Linked DNA regions of Oryzias latipes. The protein of the gene in region 2 interacts with the protein of the main gene of each other region in a pairwise test. Links are inferred from orthologs where the notes say so. Each region holds a gene or a part of one and is shown on either strand. Other genes may lie near its edges. The genes, in order: khk and lhx9.

Region 1 (4,360 bases), on a different chromosome or scaffold from region 2:
CTGTTGTATCAATGCGTATGAATGATGGTGATGGTCAGAGGGACCGTAGGCGCGAACTGGCAGCCATGCTTCTGTCATCTCCAAGTATGAATGAGGAGTGAATGAATATTGAACACAATGTAAGCGCTTTGAGCGTGTGCAAAACTGCAGATAAATCTAATCCATAATTATTTTTTTAATTTTAACTATTTGTCTGCAAGTGGATGCATCAGAGTAGAGCGGAGTGGGGATTGTCATCTTCCCATTGTAGCACCTACATCACACCTACAAGCTTTTCCTACTACAATTTTTCATCTGCTCCTGATTCATTTGTTGAATAAAAAAATACTCATATGCTTGTTGTTTGTTTCTTTTTGTTCATTTGCCCTTTAGTTTTGATTATATCTCTTTTCAGGTGTTGCTTTGCCACAAACTGTGGGGATGTTTGCTTTAGCACCCACCGTGACTTTGTGTGTAGTTTTTGTAGTTCGCAATCAGCAGAGTCAAGAGGTCAGTGCATACAGTAGGGGACGTTCTGCCCTTGCTTCGTCAGCAGATTCTTCATAAAACAACAAAAAAAAAGTAAAACTTCCCGTCACGTTAAATGTGTCATTAGCCCTTGAAGCCCTCTTGCGGGCCAAGGGGTCTGACATAGATGAAATCCTCACCTTTTGGCAGGTGGACCTTATAGGACACACAGGAAAACAAACAGAAAATGTTCTGACAGTGACAGTGACAGTGACGTCTAAACTGAAGCAATAATGTTTGTGCAGTGATGCAATGCTGCTCCTTATGCAACTGGCTGGCTCCTCCCCTGAAACAGCTGAGAACTTTGTTCCACTGCATCGACAGGAGCGTTTATTCATTCATGAATTTCCTGAGCTGTTAATTCAGCTTTTATGGAAGGAAAAATAACCTGCACACTGAAAATACAGTAGTGGGTTTCTAACTCGTGAACCATGACTTTGAGGACTCGGACATAACCACCACTTCCCTCTGCTGTCTATATTTATAAGCTACAAACTAAACATTTTGAATAAACTTCTGCATAGTTTGTATTACTGAAAAGCTTTCTGTGGTCTGGAAGGGAAGTGATTGGACGGTTTCAGTTATTGGCTTGGACAAACTCTTACGTGTTTATATGATGCCACACACATCATGCACACAATGCAGTTATATAGGAGGGGCTGCTCACTGGTTCTGGTTGGGTCTAAAGTGCGGTCTTGTGAATGAAAATTTACTGCAAAGGTGTCAATAGTCCACATCAAGATTATGATGCATGAAAGGTAGTAAGAGATGTTACAGAGTCACCAGTTTCCATTGGTACCAGGGAAGCTCTTATTTTGTAGATTAGCTCACAGGAAGTGCTGGTTCTGCTAGTAGTGGCTTGACTGGAAGAAAATGAGCTGTGTGTGAGTGTGTGAAAGAGCAGCATGCTGCAGTGTGCGTTCATGACAGCCTGAGGACACACAGGGACAGACCGGATGAGCATGGCGGAGCAGAAAAAGATCTTGTGCGTGGGTCTGGTGTGTCTTGACATCATCAACGTGGTGGACAAATACCCTGAGGAAGACTCTGACAGCAGGTTAGCACACAGGCTAGCAGCCACACACTCAAAACTCTTCCATCAGCTGATCTGCCAGCACATACACACTTTTGTCTCTTTTGATGCTTCTGGTAAACCAATTGTGTTGTGGAAAGCAGCTACATTGTTTTTTAGAAAGCTTTTGTGTTCTACTGATGTGTCCTAAAATTTATTTAATCAGTGTGGATCCGTAGTCATTCATTCATCTTCCAAACCTGTTTTGTCCCTTTTGGGGTCACGGGGCTGCTGGAGCCTATCCTGGCCACTCGTGGGAGAAGGTGGATCCCCGGTTTCTTCTTTTTTTAATGGCTATTAAGTGTCTGTTGAGCTCACATTAAAGAAAATCTGCAACTCATCGTGTCTCAGGGGCAAAGTTTAACCTGCTAACCAGTCATAAACGCCAACTGCTGCCAAAAATCATCATCTGAGCAGTGAAATGTTCAACTGTTGCAACGCAGCTCTGACAAGTTCAGTTCAGTTTGAGTGGGGTTGGGGTTCAGGGTTTGGGCTGGGGTCAAACATGAGTGCTGTGGCTGGAGGACCATCGCAGCCTCACATCAGGACAACTGTGCTGACCTTCAGGGCTAAGTGCTTACATAATGAGGCTGCTGTAAAAAGATAACTTAGAAGAGGACGTTCTCAGGACAAATGCAAGCCAACTATGCTTACCCTTAGCCCCGCCCCTCACAGGGTTATAAAGGCAAGAATCAGGACTTCAAACAATTCCATCTTTACGTTGACACTGGTTTTACAAGAGAGCCGTGACTCTTCTACCCCTTCAAACAGACATAAATACATCCACATGTGCATTTCAAGATCATAAACGGATAGAAACCTGGTTTTTTGAAACGCATCTTCTAAGCCTCAAAGACAGGTGAAGGTTTTGGAATTTTCTCTGGAGGGCGACAGAAATCTTTGAATGCTTTCTGGGAAAAGACACAATTACCCTTTGACTGCACAGTTATCTGGTGAAGAAGAATGTTATGTTCATAGTCTGATAAAAGCTTTAACGACCAAATTTCCAATGACTGCTCGTTCTCTTGGTCTCAGCATATTTTTTCAAGAATATTTATCTGCCTCTTAAATTGCCGGACCTTCTGAAATGATTTGGGGGTGCTCTTTGTCTATGTGTTCCTGCTCCGATCTCTATTTTCTCCACTTCTTTTTATTTAATGTAGTTTAGGGCCTAAACTACAAATGTTACTCAAAATGATAATTACTAAATTTACAACTGCACTTACAGTAGTAGCATTTTAGTTTGAAAAGTAGTTTTTTTGGAAACCTGAGGTTTAAAAAAAATTAAACGCCAACTTCAGCCCTGTTTGGACCGGTCTGTGAAAATATTGTCTGCCATTAATCCGGTCTGTGGGACCACTGGTTTACAGAATCCCTGTTGTATGAAATGCCCATTTAGATGAGACCAACAGTGTTTAGATAGCAAATGAAAAGCAGTTTTTCAGCATCGGTTAATAAAGCAGTTTGAATTTTCTAGATGTTACTGAGAAAGAAATAATACAATTTTGTTATACCAATGCGTTAAACCTCAGTCTCAGGTGGAACCATCAAGACAGAAAGTAACAAAAAAAAAAAGAGTGATTATAAAAGACAGTGTCACATACACTTAAATATTTTGTATGAACAGTAGAATCTGTCACTGCATTTGTTCTGGATGGGATGAGTCCTGTTGATGAAGAGTACTGGTGACATGCTGCATGTTAACGTTTTGGTTTTCTTCAGAATATTTACCAAACAACAGTAAAAACTGGAATAATGCAAATGCTAAAAAACTTAAAGGATGGATAGGACTTTACCTTTTTTTTGTCCAGAAACTCTCTTCATTTGTTTATCCCTAAGTTTTCTTGACGTTTTCTGAGTTTACAGATGAGTGTGACCCCTGTGTTCAGGTGTTTGTCGCAGCGATGGCAGCGAGGCGGGAACGCGTCCAACTCCTGCACTGTGCTGTCGCTGCTTGGAGCTCCGTGCGCCTTCATGGGCTCTCTGGCTGCTGGTCTGACCGCGGAGTGAGTATTGACAGACACATCTGACTGAAATCACTGTTGTTCAGGGCTACATTTTCTGATCCCACTGAGCTGTTCCTGTTGTAAGGAGAAGGCTGGATGGTTAAAAAACAGCAGAGAGCAGGTGGATGACAATTTATTGAGAGCTTGGAGATGGGCAGAGAGCCAGGCAGGCAGTCAGGATCAAACAGTGAGTTCTGCAGCCAAACCATCCAAATAGCTGCACTGGAGTCAGTAAGAGGACAATCTGGCACAGAGTGGCTGGAGGAACTGGGCTTTATGCCGTTGGTCTGATGAGGGAAGTGACTCCATCTGAGAAGGGTGTGGAGCAGGAAAAACAAACCGGAACAGAGGCAGGGATCCCAACATCTCCCCTGTGACTGGATCTCCATGTGCATACCAGACAATGTAAAGAAGTCATTTCCAGAGTCGATTTCAGGTCAGACCACTCACCGCCACCCCTACTTTCCCATCACGATGTTGTCTCTGCTTTTTTTCCTCATGAACACTTTTCATCTTCTGCTAACCCTCAAACAGCCCCCCCCCCCCCCCTCCATGGTTTTCAAGACCTGGAACTCACCTCTCCTCACAATCAGTTATGTGATAAACCTAATTTGACAATTGAGTCACACATTCTCAATGAATTGCTTTGGAAAAACTTTCTTGCAACAGGAAGTGTCAAAGGGATGATCCTTTACGGGGAGCTACGCAGTAGGTTAGCCTATTTTAGGGGTTCTAATAAATATTCTAGGTGCAGCTAGAAATCCAGCCGTAGAGA
Region 2 (4,582 bases):
CCCGGGTGTCACAGTCGAAGAACGCTACATGAGCATTACGTGTTGTGGTACACTCTGAAATGGATCCCTGCATTGCTGCATTATTGATGAGACACACTGTGATGTCAACCCAGGCTGAAGGAGCAAAGCAAAATGACTCTTAGCAGTGTGGCACATGATCATTTATGCAGGCAGTGCAACGGAGTAATTAATTGTCACCCTTTGCTCCCAGCAGCAGCGTTCACTAACACTGTATTCCCTTAACTTGTTGTCAATTGAAATTTGTCCATCTGTGCCTGAGAGGGTTGTTCTCCAGGAGGTTGATGGTTGGTTTGGGACACCCACTTTTCATGGTGACCCTGTCTTTTGTTGTGTTAACACTAAATACAGCAGGTGGAGACAACAGACACATTTTTTTCTTGTTCAAATTGTCAGATTAATCATCTGGAATAAAACAATCAGAAAAAATGTAAGTAATAATAATAATTCAGCTCTGAAAAACACAAATCACACAGAATTAGCACTTTTAATCTAACATAAACAGTATTTGAAATGAATTAATCCTTGAAATTGTTCATTTTTGTGATTTATTTAAAATTATCTTTAAAAGGAAGTCACATATGTGCAGAATAGTCCCCCAATTATTGCTATTAATTTGTATGAAAAATGTCACCTTGGTTCTGCAGGAAAGATGGCTACAGTCACTTCAGAGGTTGAGTATTGATTATTCCACAAATATTTTTCTTTTTTAAGTGTTTTTAAAAAATCAGAAATGCTTGTTTGTGTTCTCCAGAACCTTTTTTTTTCTTTAGAAATTGTGTAGGTTTTTTTCTGTTTTTGCATCCATAGCCATGTAATCCTCAACTTTTCCACAATTTTTAAATGTAAATAATAATCAAAATAAACGTTCTAAATGTAAATAATAATCAAAATAAACGTTTTAAAGAACCCTTTACTGTTTTGCTGTTTCCACGTCATTACTACGCTCAGACCCCCCCCCCCCCAAAAAAAAAAAAAAAAAATTAATGAGCACTTTTATTTCGAAGAGGCTTCAGATTTGGCATTTGGTCATTTTACGCGTTTGTGTGCTGGCGTGCGTGTCCGCGCCCCCACATCTTTGTCTGGCTGATTGATCCAGTTTGACTGTACACCCATATAATTAGGCTGCTTATTCACATAAACGTGCAGACAGTGAAACTGGAGCTGTAACTGCTCTCACTTGAGTTGCATTCAGCAAACGCACATATCATGTTACAGTTTGGTGACTATAAGCTGTGCGCTTTTGTTTTTAGTGCATAAAGATCTGCTTTAATGCAGAAAGAAAAATGTCATTCCAAAATAAAGAAAATACATCAATGATGTCAAGTTTTGGCACTAATTACATTTATGTTTGTATTCATAAATCGTTTGCCTTAAAAACTTAAGGGTCTTCCCGCATTTTGCGGTAAATCAGAAATTACAAACATAGTGGGCCAAGAGCTTGCCTTTTGTCAGTGTGTTGCGTTTAGGGTTGCATACGAGAGAGGAATATTTAAATGTCTTGTGTTTTAATTGACGCTCGAAGTGGAGGTGCGGTAACGAGGAACAGCCCCCCATACCGGCAGCTTCTCCTCTGCCTCCTATGCTGTGTGCGCACAGACCGCAGCCCGCCCGCCTGTCAGCCTGCACGCACGCAGCACAGAGGACTCACACACGCTGCGCAGCCTCAGGTAAGACCTTCTCTTCGGCTTCTTGGTCTTCGGGACAATTTAAAAAATGCCAAATTGGGTTGTTTTTGAGCGAAAAGCCGTCTGAAATCGAGCGATGGGTGCGCGTCAAGCAGCGCGCGACACATCTGGTGACAAAAAGAGCGACAGTGAATTCTGCAGGAGGATGTGCTGGAAGGTGAGGCCAAAGAAAGTATAGCGAGATCTCCATATTTTTTTCCATTCTTTAAAAAATATAAATATGAAATCCTTTTAGGTCTTTACCTAGTTTTTTTTCCTCCTTTGTACATAACATAATTTTTTCTTTTGCATTTCTTAGATTAAAAAGTGACGCTTTAGAAATAACAATACGCTATGTAATTTTGTAAATTTTGCATAATAATTTATTTGACAATAATATGATCTATGGTTGTTTTTTTTTATTTTTAACACTTGTGTATTTAATTTATTCGTTGTTTTTTCTTCTTCCATTTTTTGTTTAAAATGCCGTTTAATTTGCGCTCATTGCGTTGATGTTTTTCGCTGTTTTATTTCGTTAAACAAGGTCACAGCCCACATCCTAAATCAGGTCAAATCATTAACACTAACTAAAGCAAAAAAGGACACGCAACGTTTCAAAACCAGCATTAAATGTTTATTTATGATGCCACCATGGAGAAAACGTAGTTTCAACCATGAAGATTAAAAAAGTTCAAATTAATTGTCTTTTATTTTTGTGTTTATTTTTTAAATGTGTACGTTTTTGAAGGCAAAGTTCACCTTTTCCCTCAGCTTTCTGATAGTACAGTAATAGGATATTTTAAAGAAAAGATTAAACGCGTAAACTATATATCCTGTAATGTGTGGCAGCGTTCACATCTCAATTAGACAGAGAAATGAAAAACCCAAACAAAACAGCAGCACGTCCCTTTGATGTTCACTGAGACAATGTTAAAGCATCATCAGTCAAAAAGAAATGTCACCGCTGGAGGCGACGAGTCCAAACAGCACTTTTGCAACCATTTTTAAGGCGATTTGGGTTTTTACGCACACATTCGCATAAAAATATAGGAAAGAATATGCAAAACAATCCGCTTTGGAATAAATATAAGTGAGCCGGTTTTATCTTTTCTCTTGGGGCGTCTTTGTCCAGGTGACCTAACCCCCCACCCCCTCCTTAATTTTTTATTTGGCCCCTCCGACGAACAGCTGCGGGTCCAGTCCGTCCAGGAGGGCCGGAGCCTCGACTTTTGCTGCTGTTATCAAGGGGCTTCCAATTAGAGCCAGCACACCTCCATGATGTGTGTTTGTGTGCGGTAGGTGGAGGATGCAGGAGGAGGAGGGGTTCACATGATAATGTTACGCGTCCTAAGATGAAGCATCCACACCTGCAACCCACCCCCACCCCGAGCCTCTGTCTATTATTGGACAGAAAGTCTCGGCAAAATCCAGAAAACTGATGTGTCTAGAGTTTATCCCCCTGATTTCAGCTAAAGGCCTGCTTTGTGATTGTCACAATCACTCTTATGGTTAGTTATTATGGTTAGTTGTCACCATGCTTGGCCTTTACTGGACGCTAAAAAAAAAATCCCTTTTTTATTTGCGTAACAGAGTGTTCACACCCTTTAAACGCAACACTGATATTTCCTTTGGCTTTATCCTTCCATGTTTCACATAGAGGATAGTTAATGGATTTTCTTAACGCTTACATTTCTTGAAATATGCACAAAAAAACTGCTTATGGTTCCCCTGTGGCGACCACCAACTGGAGGTCTACTTTTATCTCTCATCTCCCTCCAAAACCCAGTTTGTAGCAAAGACTGCAAGACAAATTAAATCCAGTTTGGGTTGTCAGTTCAACTCTCCTGCAGGTAAACAAGGTTTTGGCCTCATTTACAGAGAGAGGGAAGACGGGATTTAGTAATATTATTATTATTATTACTATTATTATTATTATTACTATTATTCAGGGTGGGAAATTGGAGTTTATAAAAATAAAATAAGAATAATTCAAAAATAAAAGCATCAAAGTAGAAGCTTACAAAAAACATTTTTTAATGGAATTTTTTCCCTTCATATTTAATCTTAGTAGTCCCCGCCCCCGCTTGTTACTGATCACTGTCCCGCCCCAGACAATGAATTTATGACCCCCCCCCCCCCCCTCCTCCACACACACTCTCACCCCATCATTACACTAATTAGGGACATCCAAACACCTGATTCGGGTCAATTCTGGTTCATCAAAACCCAAATGAAACCAATTAGGAAGACACGTTTTAAAAAACAAAACAAAAAAATTAAAAAACACATTTCTTCTCCTGTTTTAAACCATTATTATGTTTGTGTTTTAACACTTACACGATGAAAAAGTATTAGGCCAATCTTCTATATAAGATTATTTGTGCAATAGTAGGTTTTCATGAAATAATAGCAGCGGTGGAAATGTAAATTCCATACAGCAATTGTCCTGAACGCGGCCAGAATCTGGAGATTTTTTTAGGGTAGAGTGACAGCTCTTTGTTGAAAATCGGTAGGAGAGAGGTTGAGAGACAGGCGCGGAGCGAGAGGAGAGAGGGAGAGAAAAGGAGGAGAGGAGAAGGAGAAGGAACTCCTCCTACCAAATTATTCAGACTGGGCCGGCTCTGCTCTCTTCTCAAATAGGACACGGCTCTCAAATGCAGGCAGTCCCAACCTGACCTCCGCGCGCAGAGGAACCTCCTGACTGGGAACTCGGGAAGGAGAAATCCCCCAAAAAAAAGAAAAGAAAAAGAGGAGGGGGTGCAAAAACTTTGTCACCATTTTTTTAATGCGAGTTCTCAGGCGGTAGCCGCCGCCCCCCTCCCCTTCTCCCTCCCTCCCCAGCACCATCACTTCCACATTGGTTTTGTCGCATCATCTGGACTATATACTTTTTTTCC

The links.
Region 1: the proteins of lhx9 (region 2) and khk interact in binary tests that used the Homo sapiens proteins (3 or more experiments, as listed by UniProt). The two-hybrid records come from large-scale screens. The link is inferred for Oryzias latipes from reciprocal best matches to the Homo sapiens genes LHX9 and KHK.

The regions. Positions count from the first base shown.
Region 1 is NC_019863.2:25,263,881-25,268,240, forward strand, and holds the start of khk (ketohexokinase), read left to right. Parts: upstream 1-1,351; 5' UTR 1,352-1,463; coding exon 1,464-1,564; intron 1,565-3,468; coding exon 3,469-3,585; intron 3,586-4,360. UniProt on the Homo sapiens protein: Catalyzes the phosphorylation of the ketose sugar fructose to fructose-1-phosphate.
Region 2 is NC_019862.2:14,399,569-14,404,150, forward strand, and holds the start of lhx9 (LIM/homeobox protein Lhx9), read left to right. Parts: upstream 1-1,560; 5' UTR 1,561-1,688; intron 1,689-4,055; exon of another isoform or gene 4,056-4,582. UniProt on the Homo sapiens protein: Involved in gonadal development.